Xenopus tropicalis: one gene and its partners. The protein of the gene in region 2 purifies or fractionates together with the protein of the main gene of each other region. This does not show direct contact. Links are inferred from orthologs where the notes say so. Each region holds a gene or a part of one and is shown on either strand. Other genes may lie near its edges.

The links.
Region 1: the proteins of irak1 (region 2) and tollip purify together in Homo sapiens (affinity purification with western blotting; 11 studies listed by BioGRID and IntAct, with this or other methods). This does not show direct contact. The link is inferred for Xenopus tropicalis from reciprocal best matches to the Homo sapiens genes IRAK1 and TOLLIP.
Region 3: the proteins of irak1 (region 2) and peli2 purify together in Homo sapiens (affinity purification with western blotting; 7 studies listed by BioGRID and IntAct, with this or other methods). This does not show direct contact. The link is inferred for Xenopus tropicalis from reciprocal best matches to the Homo sapiens genes IRAK1 and PELI2.
Region 4: the proteins of irak1 (region 2) and map3k7 purify together in Homo sapiens (affinity purification with western blotting; 5 studies listed by BioGRID). This does not show direct contact. The link is inferred for Xenopus tropicalis from reciprocal best matches to the Homo sapiens genes IRAK1 and MAP3K7.
Region 5: the proteins of irak1 (region 2) and stip1 purify together in Homo sapiens (affinity purification with mass spectrometry; 3 studies listed by BioGRID and IntAct, with this or other methods). This does not show direct contact. The link is inferred for Xenopus tropicalis from reciprocal best matches to the Homo sapiens genes IRAK1 and STIP1.

The regions. Positions count from the first base shown.
Region 1 is NC_030680.2:21,551,448-21,555,649, forward strand, and holds the start of tollip (toll-interacting protein), read right to left. Parts: upstream 2,805-4,202; 5' UTR 2,724-2,804; coding exon 2,691-2,723; intron 1-2,690. UniProt on the Homo sapiens protein: Component of the signaling pathway of IL-1 and Toll-like receptors. Inhibits cell activation by microbial products. Recruits IRAK1 to the IL-1 receptor complex. Inhibits IRAK1 phosphorylation and kinase activity.
Region 2 is NC_030684.2:32,170,618-32,174,461, reverse strand, and holds the end of irak1 (interleukin-1 receptor-associated kinase 1), read left to right. Parts: intron 1-438; coding exon 439-663; intron 664-2,632; coding exon 2,633-3,259; 3' UTR 3,260-3,344; downstream 3,345-3,844.
Region 3 is NC_030684.2:104,373,038-104,377,047, reverse strand, and holds the start of peli2 (E3 ubiquitin-protein ligase pellino homolog 2), read left to right. Parts: upstream 1-1,205; 5' UTR 1,206-1,569; coding exon 1,570-1,646; intron 1,647-4,010. UniProt on the Homo sapiens protein: E3 ubiquitin ligase catalyzing the covalent attachment of ubiquitin moieties onto substrate proteins. Involved in the TLR and IL-1 signaling pathways via interaction with the complex containing IRAK kinases and TRAF6.
Region 4 is NC_030681.2:84,978,708-84,982,797, reverse strand, and holds the start of map3k7 (mitogen-activated protein kinase kinase kinase 7), read right to left. Parts: upstream 2,811-4,090; 5' UTR 2,583-2,810; coding exon 2,496-2,582; intron 1-2,495. UniProt on the Homo sapiens protein: Serine/threonine kinase which acts as an essential component of the MAP kinase signal transduction pathway. Plays an important role in the cascades of cellular responses evoked by changes in the environment.
Region 5 is NC_030680.2:35,680,566-35,684,758, forward strand, and holds the start of stip1 (stress-induced-phosphoprotein 1), read right to left. Parts: upstream 2,804-4,193; 5' UTR 2,798-2,803; coding exon 2,789-2,797; intron 451-2,788; coding exon 241-450; intron 144-240; coding exon 2-143; intron 1-1. UniProt on the Homo sapiens protein: Acts as a co-chaperone for HSP90AA1. Mediates the association of the molecular chaperones HSPA8/HSC70 and HSP90.

The DNA of each region.
Region 1 (4,202 bases), on a different chromosome or scaffold from region 2:
GAATTTTTAAACTGATTTCCTTTTTCTCTGTAGTAATAAAATAGTATCATGTAACTGATCCCAACTTAGATATAAATAATCCTTATTGGGGGCAGAACAGCCCTATTGGGTTTATTTAATGGTTAAATGATTCCCTTTTCTCTGTAATAATAAAACAGTACCTGTACTTGATCCGAACTAAGATATAATTACCCCTATTGGGTTTATTTAATGGTTAAATGATTCCCTTTTCTCTGTAATAATTAAACAGTACCAGTACTTGATCCCAACTAAGATATAATTACCCCTTATTGGGGCAGAACAGTCCTGTTGGGTTTATTTAATGGTTAAATGATTCCCTTTTCTCTGTAATAATAAAACAGTACCTGTACTTGATCACAACTAAGATATAATTACCCCTTATTGTGGGCAGAACAGCCCTATTGGGTTTATTTAATGGTTAAATTATTCCCTTTTCTCTATAATAATAAAACAGTACCTGTACTTGATCCCAGCTAAGATATAATTACCCCTTATTGTGGGCAGAACAGCCCTATTAGGTTTATTTAATGGTCAAATTATTCCCTTTTCTCTGTAATAATAAAACAGTACCTGTACTTGATCCCAACTAAGATATAATTACCCCTTATTGGGGGCAAAACAATCCTATTGGGTTTAATTAATGGTTTATTATTTTTTAGTAGACTTAAGGTATATAGATCCAAATTAAGGAAAGACCCCTTATCCGGAATACCCTTTGTCCCAAGCATTCTGGATAATGGGTCCTATAGACATATCTATATATATTCACCAAAGAAAAGTGGCACTGCTGCAAACTCGTGCAAAAGGACTTAGCCCGTTGGTACAGGCTCACATACAAAAACCCACCAAAAAAGTCCTGCCAAAAAAAAAAAAGAGTCTTACCAACAAGTAAAAGGTGATATTTGTGAGAAGGAAGAAAAACATTTGGGTTACCCTGACTCGGGTTAAAATAGTAGATAATATTTGTTATTAGTATGAAAGGGTATAATATTTTCAGTAGAATTTCCATTCAAAGGATGGAACAGAAAGCATCATTACAACACTCACATGACACAAAACCCATAGCTGTTTTGAGGCTAGCTATTGCAACATTGTTTCAGGATTCCGAAACAGTAGTGCTGAGACTATAAACAGCCAGGCATTTACTGCCTTCACTAGCAATTACATTTACATATAACTTCGAAAACCACTGAAAACCATTTAAAGTACAGGTATAGGACCCCTTATCCGGAAACCCATTATTCAGAAAGTTCCAAATTACGTAAAGGCTCCATTAAAAATTCCATAGACTCCATTTAAAAGAAATAATTCTAATTTTTAAAAATTATTTCCTTTTTCTCTATAGTAATTAAACAGTAACTTGTACTTAATTCCAACAAAGATATAATTAATGCTTATTAAAGACAAAACAATCCTATTGGGTTTATTTAACATTTATATGATTTTTAGTAGACTTAAGGTGAGTAGATCTAAAATTACAGAAAGACCCCTTATCTGGAAAACCCCATGTCCCGAGCATTCTGGATAACAGGTCCCATACCTATAATATATATTGCAAAGCTGTCTTTACAGGACAAAAGTAAAGAGAGGACATCAAAGCATCACAGATGCTTTGAAGCTAAAGAATTGATGTAAAAACAGATAAATACATATTGTACATGTGAGGAACAAACTAAGATGTTTACGGCCCATATCCTATCTTGGTCGCTGGGAGTGGAATGCTTAGGCGGCTGAAGCACATGACCTAGCCACATTCCAACGGGAGACATCAGTGCATCAGGGCTTTAACACTCGAACAACTCTAGCCGCTTTAAGGGATAGGGATAGGCGGCCGAGAGTTTGGCTAAATATGTCCATATTGCCCAAGCAATTTAGGGCACGTACAAGGAGACCTAGAATGTAAAGCCATAGGACTGCTAAAGACTTCAGCAACCACAAAACTTAGGGCCCTTCATACCAAACCTGCCCTTTAAGTCTCTAGGCTTGTGGGTCAAATACTGGTTGGCCCATGTATGGCCACCTTAACAAGAGATAATGCCCTCTGTACAAACAAGCTCCACCCTTTATTGTTACTGTTTTGAATTAGAAAAAAAGCAGAAGCCCATTATGAATGGGAATATCTGTCAGGCTGCAATCTAATTACTCACCTTGCAAGACATGGGGTAGCCTCAGTTTCTCAGCTTGCCCCTGTTCCAGCTCAAAAAAAATTAACAAAACCCATAGATCTGTCGCGATTCAAATAGGCAAAAAAAAACAAAAAACTAGTTGAGCTCAAGCCAATTTATTAGTAACCCTTTGTTGTTGAGTAAGACGGATAGTGCTTCTTTAATTTCATATCCTACATAACTAGGTGAAAAATGAGCTGCTGCAGGCTGCACTGATTTATGTACAGCCACGCAGAACGCAGTTTAATAGCTGATTGGCTACACAGCATGTAGGGGTTTTCTGTGGCGTTTAAAAGGAAAACATGCCGTCAACGAGGTAATACATTCCAAATATCAAAGATCTCAATGTCACCTTATTTACAAACTAGCCAGGAATGCAGCGCATTCCTTATGTTGGGGCTGGGTCTCACCTCCATACCCCGACATTTTTATCACCCCTCATGTATTGAACCTACCACCTAAACACCCCGTTTCACCCCAAAACCTCTCTCCACTCTATCTCACCTGGCCTCTCTGGGTGCTGATACTCGTTGCCATGGCTTCTGAACAGCTCTTATCTCTCCGGTCTCGTCTTCTCCAAGACACTTCCTGTTTTAGCTGCTACACCCTCTAACAAATCTGTCACCTGACTTGCAGCGCACACGCATGCGCAGTAAGGCATCAGACGCTTGCGGTTTTAGCGGCGGCTCCGCTAGCAACTCGGTCACCTGACCTGCCGGACGCACGCATGCGCAGAATGCCTAAAGTGCCTCAGGACACAGGTTGGCTCTTGTTTTTGAGGATAAAATATAGAAACTGAAATGATAGAAAAATTATTAAGTACATATATGTCAGGAAACTGTTCCCTATGGGTGTCGTGTGTGATTTTATATCAGTATTGGTTAATTCTGTCACAGGCCATAAATCCAACTTTTAAGTGGGAAATTAAATAACTTTTTCAAATACATTTTTATTTTATATGTTATTCATGTCATACAGTTGCTCTCTACTAAATGCAAAACTGTGAGGAAAAAATACCAGCCTTGCTATCTTTGTGTGAATGAGTACAATTCTGTACAATTGTGTGTAAAACAGAGTAAGAATGTGTAAGTGTGTAAATGGGTGTGTAAATATTTGTATTGTGTGGGTGTGTCAAAGGGTGTGTAAGGGCGTATAAAGGGGGCATTTGCTAACGTTCGATTTATTTTTTCACAGTTGGAACATATGTGCCAAAATACGATTTATTTACAGGAAAGTTGATTTACAGAACCGCAGGAAATCCGAAAGAAAAAATGCGCCATCTAAAAGCTGCTGAGAGCAGAAGTCAATGGCAGGTGTCCCTTTTTACAACTGGAAGGTATTTCCTCACTTATGAAAAAGCTGCCGTTTTTTGCATTTTCCCGTGTCTTTTTTATTTGTTTGTGCTTTTTCAATTTGGATCTTTTATTAAAGCCTTTTTATTGTGACTTTTGTGAAAACGAGTTTAGACATGAGTTTCAAAATACTGTAAAACCATGAAAATCAGAATGTTAATAAATCTGCCCTTTAGTATATGTAGGTGCAGAAAATAATGTGTAGATGCATGAAACAGCGCGGCATTGGACTGGCCTGCTGGGACACCAGGAGAAAACCCGGTAGGCTCTAGTCCTGTTGGGCCCCACAGGGCTGCCATCAGGGGGGACAGTCATCCAGGGCCCGGACGATTCTCACTTTTAAGGGGGGCCCAGCCTTGATACAGTTTTTTTTAGCTGGGGCCCCCCAAGTACAGGCCCTGTCATTGGTGGTCAACGAGTAATCCGATTGGTCGCGCCCCGTGTGTACATGTAACGTCATAAGAGTGAGGACGCTGCGGGGAGCCGGAGGAGAGAGACAGTCAGCTGGAGGTAGCAGGAGAACACTGGGGGGGGGGGGAGCCGGAGGAAGCAGAAGGATGCTGGGGGATAGCAGGAGGATGCTGAGGGGGGAGCTGGAAGAGGCAAGGGGATGCTGGGGGGGGAGCCAGAGAAAGCAGGAGGACGTGAGGGGGGGCGGAGCCGG
Region 2 (3,844 bases):
CCCTGCTAAAGGGCTGTGGTTGGGGTGGTACAGAAGCACGAAACATAATGTACATTTCTGTCTTACTTATTTAATTAGGCTGTAGTTCTCCTTTATTTCCTGGGGACCCCAGACGGTATAGAGGCCTAGCTGGACCTTGTTGCTGAGAATGCAGTTGCCTTCAGTACACTGGCATTTCAAACCTTATCTGTTATGGTATATACAGAGCCTGCCTTATGACGTGTGGCCAGGCACAGGTCGGAATGCACCACACTTTTCTTATGCTGGTCCATACTGTAACACACATAGGGATCATAGAGTGAGTAAGGAGTCACATAAAAGGTGGTCTTTTTCTGTCTGTCCCTGGGAATCTCCTTGTAGAATTTCCTGTAGTGTCCCCTAATATTTATAAGGTTAATAACACTGAATTGCTTTTCACCCAGCTCCCTTCTCTTGCAGAAGGATCTAGTGAAGGAAGAAGAGTGCAAGGATGAGGAGGAGGAAGAAAAAGGAGCCAGCATGGCAAGTGGAGCAGAAGCCAAGCTAGCACGGGTGGCAGCACGCATATGCCAATATCACCTAGATTTCAGAGTATGGCAGCACGCTAAAGAAGTAACGCAGGAACTCTCACAACTGGCGTGTCGGTGTCTGGGACGTCAAAAGAAGAGACCGAATATGCAGGAGGTACTGTATTCTTCTGTGTTTGGTAAATCAGCCTCTAAAAGTTCTGTACAATTGAATAGAGACCTGGGGAGTTCTCTCAAAAGCTCTGCTTTTGAATAAAAATACATCTCTACACATAAGCCCTGTGAGTGCGGTATTTTGGACTTTGTACCTGCTACTTAAACTAGCCAAGTCAAGTGGCTGAGACCACTTAGTTTTATACACAGGATCATATTGTAGAGTTCTAATAGACCTCCAAAGGGGGGGTTTGCCAAAACCCAACAAAGTTTAGAGAGAATAACCCATAAAAGCTGGACTGTGACTGCTCTGTGCAGAAATGCAGACTACCTCAACATTTCTTAATAAGTTTCTTAGCAGAAACAGTGAATTGTTAAGGTATAGCAGGGTGGCACTATATGCAAAAGCGGCATAATATTGTGCACATGAAACATTATCAAAAGAACACTTTGCCTTTGAAAATGCCAGGTGTGCACAGGCAGTTGTATGGGTTGTACCAGATCAGCAAAATCCTGGTTCATGAAAGCCTTTGAACCATACATTACCCCTCAAGCACAGAGCTTCTCTACATTAAAGGGGATCTCTATCCAAAAGATGTTTTTGCATAATGAAATTCTAAGCAACTTTCCAGTATACATTTATGAGACATTTTTAATGGCTTTAAAGCTATTTGTAAATGTAATTGCTGCTGTTTATATCCTCTGCACTGCTGGCCGACTCCTAGAATGATGTTGCCATAACCAGCTGACTAACAGAACCTGGAGGAGAACTACTGCTAATTGTTTAAAAAAAACAGACACTACTTTCAGTGGTAAATACATTTACTAACAAGCTTAAACCAGTGAAAATGTATAATGAATGTATATTGGGAAGTTGCATAGAAGTACGTTTTATATTAATTATGCAATAAAACCCTTTTTTGGTACAGTAACACTTTACAGGGACTGAATCCTAATTATTTTTTTTTATGAAACAAGTTAAAAGTTTAGTTTTGTGTTCAGATTTGATGTAGTTAATAATACAAATTGCTTGGGGCCGGCCATATTGCTTATCTTTGCTGAGCCATACTTCATCAGCTGTAATAGAACAGCACCATCTAGTGATAAAAACATATTACCCAAAGAATGGACTGTGCCATATAGCCCCTGCAGGGCTAACTTTAGACATGTAGCCAGATTTGTATCAAGCTATATTGGGGCAATACTACTTGGTCCAGAGCTCTACCTGTCTACCCCTCCACCTCCCCATTCATTTGCTCTCAAACCAACTCCTGGGGCATTCACAAGGAAAGGCCACACAGCCCACCTTGGTTCACACTTAGTTCAACTGTTTTCTACCCCCCCCCCAACTGCACCTCCCCCAGCCTGCCCCTTGTTCTGGCCCTACAGCTATTGCAATCTTCCTAATGTGTGTATGTGTGTGGGTACAGCATATAAAAAGGCCACTGCCTCCATGACACAGCTGTATGGAAGTCACTGCTGGAATAACTTGGACAGTAGAGGAAGCGCTTTAGTTAAGCTTGACCAAGCATAGGGTTAAGCTGGCCATACACGCACCGATAATATCGTACGAAACCTCGTTTCGTACGATATTCGGTGCATGTATGGCATGTCGGCGAGCCGACCGATATCACAGGAAGCTGCTGAAATCAGTCGACTCGCCGATCGGCCAGGTTATAAAATGGTCGCACGAAACATCGTCAGATGGTCGCACGAAACATTGTCAGATCGCCACGTGTGTGGCCACCTTTACTCTATGTGGGAATCTGTACAGTAGCCCCTTGCATTGTTATTTTATATCCAGCCTCTGCTTCCCTGAATAGGTTCTAGGTTATATTTTATTACTGATGGTTTCAAGCCATGTTTTGCTAGGGCTTTACTTGCCCTTTAAAATAATCTCTTTAACAATATCTTTATTCATTGAAGTCCAGTCATTTCGCTGGTTAACTGTTTGATTTGCTTTGCTTTCCTAGGTCTTTCTCACCCTAAAGCGGCTACAAGAGCATCTCCACCGACGACATTTGGGAAAGGGTCATGGAATTTCTTTTACTCCACCTTGCGTATCCACCAGGCGAGGATTTTCCCCCATACATGAGCTGGCATCTAGTGTCCAGGATTTGCCTCTCACCCCTGAGGAAAACACAGACAAATATACTCCCTGTGGGCTTTCAGTTAAGGGCAGTGTTCAACCCTACACCCCAGCTCACACCCAGCACCAGGCCAAAGTGGACAGTTTATGCAGTTCATTTTCCTGCCAAAGCCTCAAAACATTTCGGGGCGCTCAGAACACACCAGTGGAGAGTGATGAAAGCTTCCCAGATTTTAGTGGCTCTGATAATTCAGCGGGACCAAGTGACCAACATATTCTCTACCCCAGCGGAGTGCAAGGGAGCATATCGCCTGTATTACCAAGGGTATCTGTCCAGGACCCAATTCCTCCTGTGCAGTACCAGAACCAATTAGCAGTTCAGCCCAGGCAGAGACATTACTGCAATGAACTGTCAGGAAGTGGCAGCTCAACATCAGGGGCATCCCAAGGTAGGCCCAGGGGGCGAGCAACACATTTTGAAGAACACGTGGCAGCACTATTGGTGCTTTAGGGATTGTTACAAAAAATCATTCTATGTACAGAACCTATCCCCTTTGTATTTCTGTTATGGAAATATCAAAGTTAATTAGTTCCCACTTCTTTGTTTTGCTCTCGTTTCTTTTCGTGTAGTTTCAGTCTTGCATAAGACTCCATTGCTCTCTGTAGGCTGAGCTCAACCATCCTCATCAACTTCAATATCCCTCTTGTACTGTTATACTGCCCTTTCAAAAAGCTAGTAACAGGGTATAGCCTGAGGGCCCCTAGGGCTTGGTCTGACTTAGTTGAGTGTAGAAAGTTGAAAGAGGGTGGTGATTACTTTCATCCCCCCTCCCATACCTTCTGCATAGAGCCACCATAAAACTTTGCCAGCAGAGCATATTGGCTCATTAAAAAAACATTATACCCTATTTAAAAGTTAAGTTACATATTCACTTGCCTACTGTGGTTCCCAAACTGGCCCTCTAAGGTAGGCCCAACACTGTTGAAGGGGTCCTACTATAAAGGCCAATTAGGAGGATGATTGCTTATACAGGTATGGGTCTTGTTATCCAGAATGCTCGGGACCTGATGTTTTTCGAATAAGGGATCTTTCTAC
Region 3 (4,010 bases), about 72 Mb from region 2:
TAAATCCTGTTTTTTTTCAACCAAAACTTGCAACCTAGTCAGGAATTCAAAAATAACTACCTGGTTTGGGGGCACTGAGAGCAACATCCAAGGGGTCGGTTAGCAACATGTTGTCCCAGAGCCACTGGTTGGGGATCACTACCCTAGGGCCATGGATGTTGTCCTCTCCTGATGGGTCTACATGGCCAACACATAATCCATTCCTTGGCCTGGGGTTTAGCAAGATTTGGCCCCTGACTTGTTAGTCATCTTACAGCTTCTCCACTGCCAAGAAAAATTCTACCCCTAGCAAGAGTCTGTGTGTGTTGGGTCTCTTAACAAATATCTGCTGCAGTGTGCACTGCATTACAATTATTTCCATAAATCAGGATAGGGAATTTGAATTGATCTTTTAGTTTTATACTATGTGCAGTGAAGTTGCTGTTCTCTATACATGAAATGAAGCACAAGACGCAATCATTTTATTAATCAGTAGGAGCCCCCAACTTGATTTACTCAAACTGGAACCAGGATACTGGAGCAGCTGGACTGTGTGCAGCATACAACACCCAGATATGATTGAAATGTAGCTTGTCAAATGATATGATACTGGCAGAGGCTTTATAAAATATCAAACCTTTAGCTGTAAACACTTCTTTGCATCACTTAACCAGTAATCAATGAATCATTTGCACTTTATTATAAGAGATAATTAATAAGACAATAGATCAGGTGATATTTTGATTTGCTACTTCTCTCTCTGAGGCGGGCATTCTAATTGTGAGGATGCTTGGTACCAATAGATCAGTAACGTCACCTTTGCGGATAAAAATAGAACTGCCCCTTTAAGAGCTCCCTATCCCATTTTACTCTATGTTTACATAACAGTATGGACGCTCCCACTCTTCACTTTATGGAGGGGGGTTAAGTGGCGGAATCTGTTACTGGTTAGCGCACGTTCCTGTTTTATCTAATCCGTTCGCTGCTTGGTAAGAGAGGACCTATCATTTGCGGCAGCTTGTTTCCCTGAAAGCACCGAGATAGATACAGGGCAGGGAATGTTTTGTGTTTGATTATGCAAACTCCGCCCACTTCTCTCCCAACGCCTAATCCAGAGTCCTGTTGCCACGGCACTTGGAAAGCAGCGGGGTTCCATTTGTTGTCTAGAGGGGGAGGAGGAAGGAGGTCGGTCCCGCGAGTCATTCGCAGCCTCTCTCTGTTGCTATCGCGTCGGTTGCAGGGCAGGAGGCAGACGCAAGCGGCTTGTTCCTCGGGAGTGCTGCTGTTTTGCTTTGGGCTGCCGGAGACAGGCCGCGGCGCTTTGGAGGGATTATAACCTTTCCCGTCAGCTGGAGCTGGAAGAAACTACTGGGGAGGGAGGGGAGAGTGCGGCGGTGACAGTAATCTGCGCCACAGGGCAGCCTCTTTGCTCCTAGGATTTATCCGCCACCCGGGCTGGTGAGCTGCGGCATCCGGTGTGTATATGAGCTGCCATGGAGTAGAGGGGGTGCGGAAGTGGAGCTCCCCGAGGGATTGTACGGCTGGCCGGGGACCGTGCATTGGCAGAGGGTGACGGGGACCGTCTTCTCCATGTTTTCCCCCAGTCAGGAGGAGCACTGCGCCCCCAGTAAGGAGCCCGTCAAATACGGAGAGCTGGTGGTGCTGGGGTGAGTCGCACACACACTGACATAGGGCAGAGCACAGAGGCCACTGCCTGTCTCCTCACTATCACAAGCACAAGGGGGGGGGGGGGGGGAGTACAATAACAAAGGACATATCATAAGGGCAAATGGCTTATTACACTGTTTAACAATTGCTTGTTAGTCTCTGTATAAACAACACGCACCCCCAAGCTTCTGCCTTCCAGCTGTTGTTCAACTGCAACTTCTCACATCCCACCTACAGCATGTTAGCAGTTTGCAGTAAGGCTACAGATTGGGAATTCCCAATTTATGGAGCAGAACTCAGATGGGCTAGCAAGCTATACTGTATTGCTGGGGGCCCTCACCCACACCCTGAGCCAGCAAGCCAACCGTGGGGGTTGAGATGAGAGGGTACAGCGGAAGTAGTGGAAGTTAAATGCGAATGCATGTTATATTATTGAAAGGTCAGCTTGATCAACACAAGAGCTTACAATTTAGTGAGAGAGGTTCATTTACTAAAATGCCATATTGGCAAGTGAAGCTGAGAGCAATTATATCTATGTGTAACAGCTGCTACCTGGCAGTTAAAGGGCCTGGTTCCATGCTGCACTGTTTGCTTAAAGTTTGTGGGACTCCATTATAAGAGTGGTGGAAGTGACTCAGTACACAGAAGGGGGTGGGTGCAATGTGGAGCAGACATTTACATGTTTAAGGCAAAAGGATAATGGGCCTGCTCATAAGATTTTGAAACGGCGGGGTTTCCTACCTTTTCTTAGGGTTGAACTATAATTCCAAGCACTCCCCGCTGTGCTACATGTATAAGAACTCTGTGTAGTGCAGCCTGGGGGGCACTGGAGATTTTGGGGCTGCATGTCAGCCTCCAGTTGGAAAGTTCTGCTGTGCTGCATGTTGGATCACATTGGCTCACAGCCCTAAGAAGGGATATGCCACCTTCATCAGTCAAGTAGCTGTAGAGTTTCCACTAAAAGCCACATAAAGTTGTATTCCAGCGGGACTTGAAGGGTTAAATATTCAACATCCATGATCTGGAAAGATAAATATGTTTTTGGCCCAAATATTAGGCCAACCCACCCCTGTGTATTCATTGTTGGGAAATCATTTTATAACAGCCAGTAAATGGGAAATCTCCCTGTAGAAGCTCATGCAGCATTTATTTTGTGTTTTAACCCAGGGTTTTACTTCATAGCATTGCATAGCATAGGTATTGCAGGAGTTGTATGCGCTGGCCAGGCAGGGCAAGTTCTACTTCATGGTGCTTCAACATGCAGCCATTTAGTAGTTCTGTTCCTAAGAACTCCAGGTGCTTTTTGCTCAGCTCTCTGTTTTGCTTTGTCATCAGTACCTGCCAAATAAATTTATATATAAACGTCCTATAAAAAGCCTTACTTGACATTGGCTGCGCTTATTCATATGTGCAAAGTATAGGAAACCTATTCTAGGTATGTAATGCCTCAGTGTATCCCGTATTACAGAGGGGCAATATCAGTATACAGGAAGTCATTGTATTTGCTGTGTTTTAGGTCACTTTCCCAGGGGGTTGGTCATGCCTCTTTCTTATTCTATGAAATCCAGTATTTCCTGTGTGAAATCCTCTAACATCTGGATTGCCATTTCTGCTGCATGTTATTGTTTACATATACGTAATGCTGCAGTTTTTCCATATTGCTGAACCACAAAGGGGGGGAATACAAACAATTGCATATCAATGCAGTCCAGTAGAAATGGGATTTAATTGCCCCATTCCTTACTGCTTGCTTTTCCATTTCCGTTATTGGTTTGGTAAGCTGCTGGGGAAATTACAAAATCCCACGCATGCTAATGTGCTTTGTGTGTGTGTTTCCCCCTTTTCTCATTGGAACAGTCTGGTAACAGGATTGATCCAAGATAAAGTGAGGGGTACTTCAGATTGGTAAACGTCAACTTTCCTTCTATCCCAGGCTCTGCAGTATGCTTATATGCAGATTGTCATTATCACCATAAATTATAAAGCAGTAACCTATTTTGCAGGGCTGCACAAACTGCCTAATACATAACTGACAGCTGGGGCATGGTATATTTATGATTTACTTAAAAGGCTCAAGGCCCGGCCCTTTAGATCAGATTTAGAGGAGATATCCTAAGCAGCAGTCATGTGAAATACTGCTTTTGTTTTCCCTTTGAGAGCTGCTAGGAAAGAAAGAGTTAAGAAGGAATTTACCAAATATTTTAGGCTTGGCTTTTAATGAGTGCATGTGCTCTGGTATTTTATTTACCACTAAGGTATTTTATTTAGCCCACCCCCTCCATCTGCTATTGCATAAGCAGCAGCAGCACTTCAAAAGTGAAACGGAATACTGGAAAAGTAAAGCAACAATGCCAAAGACTGGA
Region 4 (4,090 bases), on a different chromosome or scaffold from region 2:
AATTGACAATGCTGATCATTTACTGGTAATTGTCTCTACATGTGTAGAGGCAATTCTCAAGTTTTGTCTGTGGCAGGGTATTTTCTGGAGTTTTCTAGCCGTCGCAAGTAGCTGCTACTAAGCAGCTCCGTGTGTCTTTGCCCTAACAGTACATAGAATGAGAAGAGGCACTGCCAGCAAAATGCACCTTAAAAGGGATACTGTCATGGAAAACCATGTTTTTTTTTCCAAAACACATGAGTTAATGGAGCTTCTCCAGAGAGAAGCAGAATCCTGCATTAAAATCCATTTTTCAAATACACAGATTTTTATATTTAATTTTGAAATTTCACATGGGGCTAGCCATATCCTTCATTTCCCAGGGTGCCACAGCCATGTCACCTGTGCTCTGAAAAACTTCAATCACACTTTACTGCTGCACTGCAAGTTGGAGCGATATTAATCTCCCACAGCAGTCAATCAGCAGAACAATGGGAAGGGAGCAAGATATCAGCTCCCAGTAGATATCATAATAGCATGCAACAGTAAGAAATCCAAGACTTTTGTGGCGGCCAATAAGTCACCTAGACTGGATTTTTAAAATCGCAGCGACTAGTTTCTCTGTCTGTCTTCACCCTGATGGTTTCATTAAACCTAACCTATGCTATCAAGTCCCATGGTTCTACAGGAAAATATACTGCATGTTCCTGTACAAGGGAATTTGGATCAGACAACAATCCTTCACCGATTCCAGATTGATGAACTTTCACAATGTTGAGTTGAGGCAGCCACACACTTTAAGATCTGCTTGTTTGGAGAGTTCGCCAAACGAGTGGATCTTCTCGTTAGGTGGGCAAGTTTGGACCAAATGATGCAGTCCCTTATAAGTCATAAAATCAAACCTATCTGACCAAGATCTGGTTAATTTTAGGGCAGATCTAAAGCTGGCCATACACGCACCGATACTATCGTACGAAACCTCTTTTCGTACTATATTCAGTGCGTGTATGGCATGTCGGCGAGTCGACCAATATCGCAGGAAACTGCTAATATCGGTCGACTCGCCGATCGGACCGGTTAAAAAAATTTGATCGGGCGCCATAGAAGGCGCCTGACCAAAATCTGCCGTCAGGGCTGAATCGGCAGAAGGAGGTAGAAATCCTATTGTTTCTTCCTCCTTATCTGCTGTTTCAGCTCTGATGGGTGTGTGGCGGATCTGACGATGTAGTCAGGTAGGCCTGGCAGGCGTGCCCATACATGGGCAGATAAGCTGCTGAATCATTCTAAAGGACCCGAATCTGCAGCTAAAATCTACTCGTGCATGGCCACCGTAAGAATATCCAATTGGCCTTTGCTTGAAAATGGCATATACACAAAAGCAAAACGTCAATAAGACTAATGTGACAAGATTTGGGGTAAATTAACATAATTTAGAGGAACATCACTTCCCCTTTACATTCAACAGGAATCACCATGAGTACGGCACGACACCCATGTGACTACAACCAGAAAACATGCCTACCCAATATTTTTGGCTATAAATATGGTCATACTTCAAACACATGCATCAGCGGTAAGAATAAAAACAACTACATAAAACTGGTGCTTCACAAGTGTCTTTTCATTGTGTTTTCTGATAATTTAAAAACAAAATTCTTTGACAAACTATGAATTAATCTGTTTTGCTATCGCATTAATATTACAGATGAAACCAATAGAAAAAGAGGTTTCCAAGCAAAGTTTGTACCACTATGGAGATGCATGGAATGTGCAAGCCATTGGGAAATATATGAAATAAATCATACAAAAAATGGATGGGCTACCTGTCACCTCTGATGCCTCATATCAGCGGCAAATGTACAGATATGTTGTCTGGGACAAACGCAGTCTTTCAAGAAGCAATTCACCTGAATGTTATGACAGTTTGCTACTGTTCTTTAGTTATTTCTTTTGTTTTTTTGTTTTTTTTTAATTATTTCACATTTTGCTCTGCAGCTATCCAACTTAGAATGTTTACCTTGAACCAGGCAGTGGTTGGAAAGTCAGAAAGATGAAAAGGAAAGAAACTCTAAACAAAGACAAGCCAAAGACAAGTATCAGCTATATAATTGGGGGAGGGACAGTGTCCCCCAAAAAACTGACATTTTCAAATTGCAACATGTAAAATGGCAATGATAGGAGGGGGAATCATTAAAAAAAACCATAAAACATATAAATTAGAAATAATCAATTGAATAGTTGCCGAGAATAGGCCAGCCAGGAAAAACCTAATAGCTGCTTTACAAGTGAACTTCCCCTTTAAGGGTGTCTTTACTACTAGATTTGTCTCCATAGAACTTTCTCTGGCAAAGAATGAATAGGACTAAATATTTACAAACAATAAGCGGGGAAAGTCCAACCTGCGGTCAGTAAAGTGCAACTACTGGCAGCAACTGCTAGAAGTTATATGTTAATGAAAAGCTGCAGGTTGGAGATCTGCCTTTAGCCCATTTGCCCGTGTCACCCCGCAGGCTCACCTCTTCCACCTCTATCTCCTTGTAGTCGATCTCCTCAAAGTTTAGCACCGGTGGAGTCTCAATCATGTCAGCAGAGGCGGCAGACATGCCGTGCCCTTACAAGAGAAATCGGGGACCCCACCGGCGGAAGCCGGGGTACACAGCTGGGGAAAACAGAGCGGGTTTAACAGGAGCCACCGTAATACTTGTACGTGACGGGCGGCCCCGGCCCATCAAGGACCAGGTAACCCCCTTCTGGGCTGCTGGGCCTAGCCTGCTTGGAGCCAGGGCCTGTGGTGGAAGAGGGGAGGGCTCTCTTGCTACTACTGTAGCCGCTGATGCGCTGGCCAACTTCCGATCCGACCATACAGGTAGAGGCGAAGAAGCGCAGGCCTAATGCAGAGCGGCGGCGAAAGCAGGGCGGGGCTTCGTGATGTCGTCTTGCACAGAAGCAAAGTGAGGCGTGTTCGGAAAGATAGTTTTTTTATACAACTTTATTGACATGACAAAATGAAAATTCTTTCTACAATATAGTCTTTTTTTTTTTTGCTCTGCTGTTTTGTTTACGTTTTGCTGTCTTATATGACGGTACTATCTGCCCTCCGAAATAAATTGTCTCTGGAAGTGTTGTTAGGTTTTTAAAACTTCCAGAAATCATTTCTCAGTGCCTGCTCTTAATTTATAACCAATAGTGAAAGTATAGAAATATACTCTTATAGGCAAGTGCAGTAAACAAAGTGGAATTCTGAGTGCATTTTTTCCCCACAATGCAGCCTTTTCCACTGAATTGCAATCACTATTGCGCCTACACAACTACATTTGATGTGACAAAATTCCCACAACTGTATGCACATTTTGTCACAAATCTGACACAATTGTGCAGAAGCTGGGTTTTCCCTTTAACTTTATAGGGAGATCTCCAGCCTCAGGCAAGTGCTGGCTGGATGCCCCAGTTTGGAGCCAAAAATCAAGGGGGGGGCAGCAGTTGATAAAGGTGTTTTGCCAGTTTTTGGAGGAGAGATATAGAGTGAGCAGCCCGTACCACATGTTGTGAGTTGAGACTGAAAAAAGAAGAGTCTGCAGGGCTGCCAGGGATTACAAAGTCCTCTGTGGAATCTCCGTGTGTGTCCCCTGGTGAGAACAGGTATGTATGTGTAACCCTTTCTTGGCACATTCACTTATATATGGCTGTATTTTCAGGAGATGTGTGTTCTCAAAGAATATTGATACTGGGAACTGGGAACAGCGCAGTGCCTCCACCTAGTGGACACTGAGGAACACACCTCTAGGGGATTTCCACTAGGAAATAATCACACACAGGTTTGGCAGAAATGTTAAACTTTATATAACTGTTGGAGTTGGAAGTTAACACTTTATGTACAACTGATTTTCCTGCTCTGAGGAACCCATGTAGTTTATCCACAGCTGGCACCGACAGTCTCTATAGATGCCCAATCCCCACTTGGATCCGGATAAACCACAACCCTTAGGTTAGTTCAGTCCCTTCCCCAAGAGCTCTTTAGTCCCCCCAGGTAGCGCTACCTGCCCCAGAGTACCTTCCCTTTATAAAGGTGGCTGCTCCCACGTAGCAGGCAAACGAACAATACCTGTTCACA
Region 5 (4,193 bases), on a different chromosome or scaffold from region 2:
CCTGCCAGCCTGGCCTCCATATTTTGCAGCCCTTCTTTCAGCTGTGCATTTGCTGGCTCGTGCCTCAGCCCCTCTTCATAAGTTTTCTTTGCTTCTTCAAAACGATTCAGAAATTCTAAAGCTGCTGCTTTCCTAGAGTAACCCTAATAGAAAGATAACAATAAGACACTTATAGATATACACAAATTATTACCAACAGGTTTACAGGTCACTACATATGCTTAGCTCTACAGCTCCCACCTTCCCCCAGTCTGGTTTCAGCTCCACGGTTTTGCCGCCATCTTCCAGTGCTTTGGTGAACTCTTTCTTTTTGGCAAAGGCTGCAGAACGATTGCTGTACAGGACGTGATTTTTAGGGTCAAGTTTGATGGCTTCGGTGTAGCATTTGACTGCTTCATCCAGATCCCCTGCTGAAAGTGCTTTGTTTCCTTTCTCTTTCAGTGCGTTTGCCTGATGGGAAAGAACAGGGACAACAATTTTGAAACATATACATAACGATATGTCATTTGTTATAATGAAAGTATGTACAAAGATATCAAATCTCTATGCCTTCCACTGCTGCTTAATTAACTCTTGCGCCACTGGTGCCTGGAACTAAATTGCTGCCACCCCCACTCTGACTCACTTTGGGCAGCGTGGGCTGAAAAGAAAATTGAAGGGAAGGGGAAAGCAGAATTTAAACATGTCATTGCCTCAAACTATGCCTTGCTAGGCACCCTTGGCTCAAATAGTACAAATAATAACATGCTCAACTGCAGGTTGAATATAAAAATAAGAGATATATACATAATACATAAAAAATATCTGGATCCCTGTGTACCTATAAAAAAAATAAATAAATAAAAAAATTCTTTTTTTGCCTAATCCTGCAACATGCATAAGAAAATAAAGGTTCAGTTCAGTAGAAAGGAACTGGTGACAAACATAAATAATAATAAAATATGCATGATATATTTCTGTTATAGCACAGGTTAATGTTCTACAGACATTTTTGTAGCTATAATTCCCACATCAGGGGATTCCCAGCCCTGTGTACCATTAGCCTAAAACTTGTGGCCCACGGCCATTTTATACACTACTGCCATACAGAGATAAAACAGCAGCAGGCTAATTGCCCTTCTACCTGTCACTGCTCTGAACAATGAGCTGCGATAGGCAGACAGGGGTATTTTGAATGCTGCTGTTGTTCACTAGATGACAACATCAAGCAAAACACCCCATATGCCCCTTGCCTAAGAGGAATAGGTAAGAGAAAGGACTCCAATTCAATTACCCTACTTATGCCCAGCTGTGCCAGCGCTACTTTCTTTTCCAGGAAACCAACTAAATGTAACATAAAAATTATCAAGCTGCATACTGTGAATCCCTCTCCATAACACTTGTAGACAAAGAGGCCAAAATACTGGGGCTCATTTAATAATGGTTTGGGTGCACCTGCATCTGAGGCATATTTGCTCTCTTAACTACCTCACACTGAATGCAGGCAGTGCTGAAGTCATGGTCAGGTCCTTACTTGCACCTACATGTGCTGATGGAGGGACAGAGTGCAAAGTAACAATAACACTGACTTGCATCTGTGCACCCTGCCACTGCATCTGTATATAAAATGACAAACTATTAATATGAAGATGTATATATTGCAAATGTGAAAGTTCATAGGAAAGATCAGATGGCAGGCTGGCCAAGCATGTAAAGTTGGTACATCGTCCTTTGCCATTGCTGTTCTATGGTTATCTTCTGACTACACACAACTGGAAATTTGTTTCTTTGGGCCAAACCGACCAAAATGGTTAAACCTGTCCAGTCTATAAAATGTCCAATAGCCATGGTACAAACATGTCTCTTCTAAATGCTACTTGGACACAAGGACTGGGAGGGAATTTGTACTAAGTCGTGTACTTACTGTCAATACCTTTAAGTTTATAGCCGTCTTAAGAACTGTAGTTCATTTCTACAGAACCCACCCTTCCTCTTTAATAATACTTGGGATTCTCTCTTACAGATTTCCCAGATGACTATGCCAATATAATTGCCTCAGTAAAAACTTTTATTCAAAGATGTAGACGTACACATACAATAGCATAAATCCAGATTAATCCAGATTTTTAAACGTTTTCCTTCAATATCTGTGTCCCATCAGAAACTATTCAATGTCCCATCACAATGCAAAAGTCTTATTTCTAAATTTTAGGGTAACCAAAAAATTATTTTGCTGTGGGACCCATGAACTTCTTACTACACCAGAGATCACCAGTAGCTGGTGGAGGGAGTTCCAAATAATGACAATTTTATTAGGTGAACAATACACAGTAAACCTTTAGAATAAATAAGAGTAGGGTTGATTAGCTAAGTTGCCTACCATATGGCTATACAGAAACCAGTGCAGTCTGCAGGCTGATGGTTTTACAGGCGTAAATCCCAAGGAGAAGCATGGAAACTAGAAACAAGGGTGAGCTATTGCCCCTATTGGAGAAACTGACAGACGTGGCATGAGATGGCAGAGACTGGCAGAAAAATAACTCCTGACGCCACAATGCCAGTACGGCTGGAAGCTGCAGTTCTGCAACTACTCTTGCACTGAATGCTATTGAGGGCAGTTACCAATCGTCTGAAAGGAAGAACAGCTATCCCACATAGCCCAGACCCTCACTCCATGACTTAATGACTGACCCACAAGTATAAATTCCCCGCAACTATGGAAAGCTTACTTGTCCCATAACGCGGAGCAAGTGTGTGGGTTAGCATTTATAATATCCCCATCACTCTTAACTAACAATTTGCCACTTACCGCCTCCATTGCAACCCTCTGATTCCGACCTCCCCACGCGTCTTCTCGAACCTACTAAACGATGACAGTTCAATTCCCGCCTACCGAGTGTGCAACTATTGGGCGAACATTTTAAGCTCCCTTCGCTGACAGGTCAATGCTGTTATCCATCACGTACCCACGCCCCTTGCTGACTCTCCCAGCAAGACTTCCTTGTCCTTGTTTTATCCCGCCCATTCACTACTTCTAAAGCCGATTGGCTGGCTGTAAGCTCACGCTTGGGGAGAAATTGGCTGGAGGATTCTGGAAGCTTCTACTACGCCAATTGGTTGCTACGAGGGCCTAGAGTTCTGATTGGTTTTAAGACCCCACTTGTTTCATTGAGGAAAAGTGATGTCACTTCCAACCAACAATGTGTTCGGTTGTACAGAGCTGCAGGGACACTACCAATACATCTCTCACATTTCTTATACTTACTTTTCTTGGCCCTAGCAGGGAATTTCATTTATACATAATAACCTCCATGGTCAGCAGTACTGAAAAGGTTCTGAATCCCTTTGTGAATACCTTTTTTCACTATGTTGTATCTTGTGGCTCAGATTCCAGGATCATCAGAACCCCAAGAAGAAGTACTAGTGAATTGTGAGCACACTAGGGGGCTGATTTACTAATCCACGAATCCGAATGAGAAAAATTCGGATTGGAAAATGAACATTTTGCGACTTTTTCGTATTTTTGCGATTTTTTTCGTCGCCATTACGACTTTTTCGTAAATTGTAGCGACTTTTTTATAACCATTATGACTTGCGTGAATTGTCGCAACTTTTTCATAGCCATTACAAATTTCGTGAATTGTCGAGACTTTTTCATAGCCATTATGACTTTCGTGAATTGTCGCGACTTTTTCATAGCCATTACGAATTTCGCAAATTGTCGCAACTTTTTCGTATTGAGCGCTCGAAAAATTTGCGACAATTCACGAAAAAGTCGCAAAATACCAATCATTACGAAAAAAACACATTCGGACGCTTTTCGGACGTTCGTGGATTAGTAAATGTACCCCTAGGTGTGCAAGGAAGGTAACTGAATTAATAGGCCAGTACCCTGACTAGACGCTCAAGTACAGTGATCCCCAACCAGTGGCTCAGGGACAACATGTTGCTCACCAACCCCTTGGATGTTGCTCTCAGTGCCCCCAAACCAGGGAGTTATTTTTGAATTCCTGACTTTGTGGCAAGTTTTGGTTGAATAAAGTCAAGATTTACTACCAAATAAAGCCCCCTGTAAGCTGATAGTGTGCATAGAGGCTGCCTAATAGCCAATCTTAGCCCTTATTTGGCTCCTCCATGAACTTTTATGATGCTTGTGTTGCTCTCCAAGTCTTTTTATATTTGACTGTGACTCATGAGTAAGAAAGGTTGGGGGT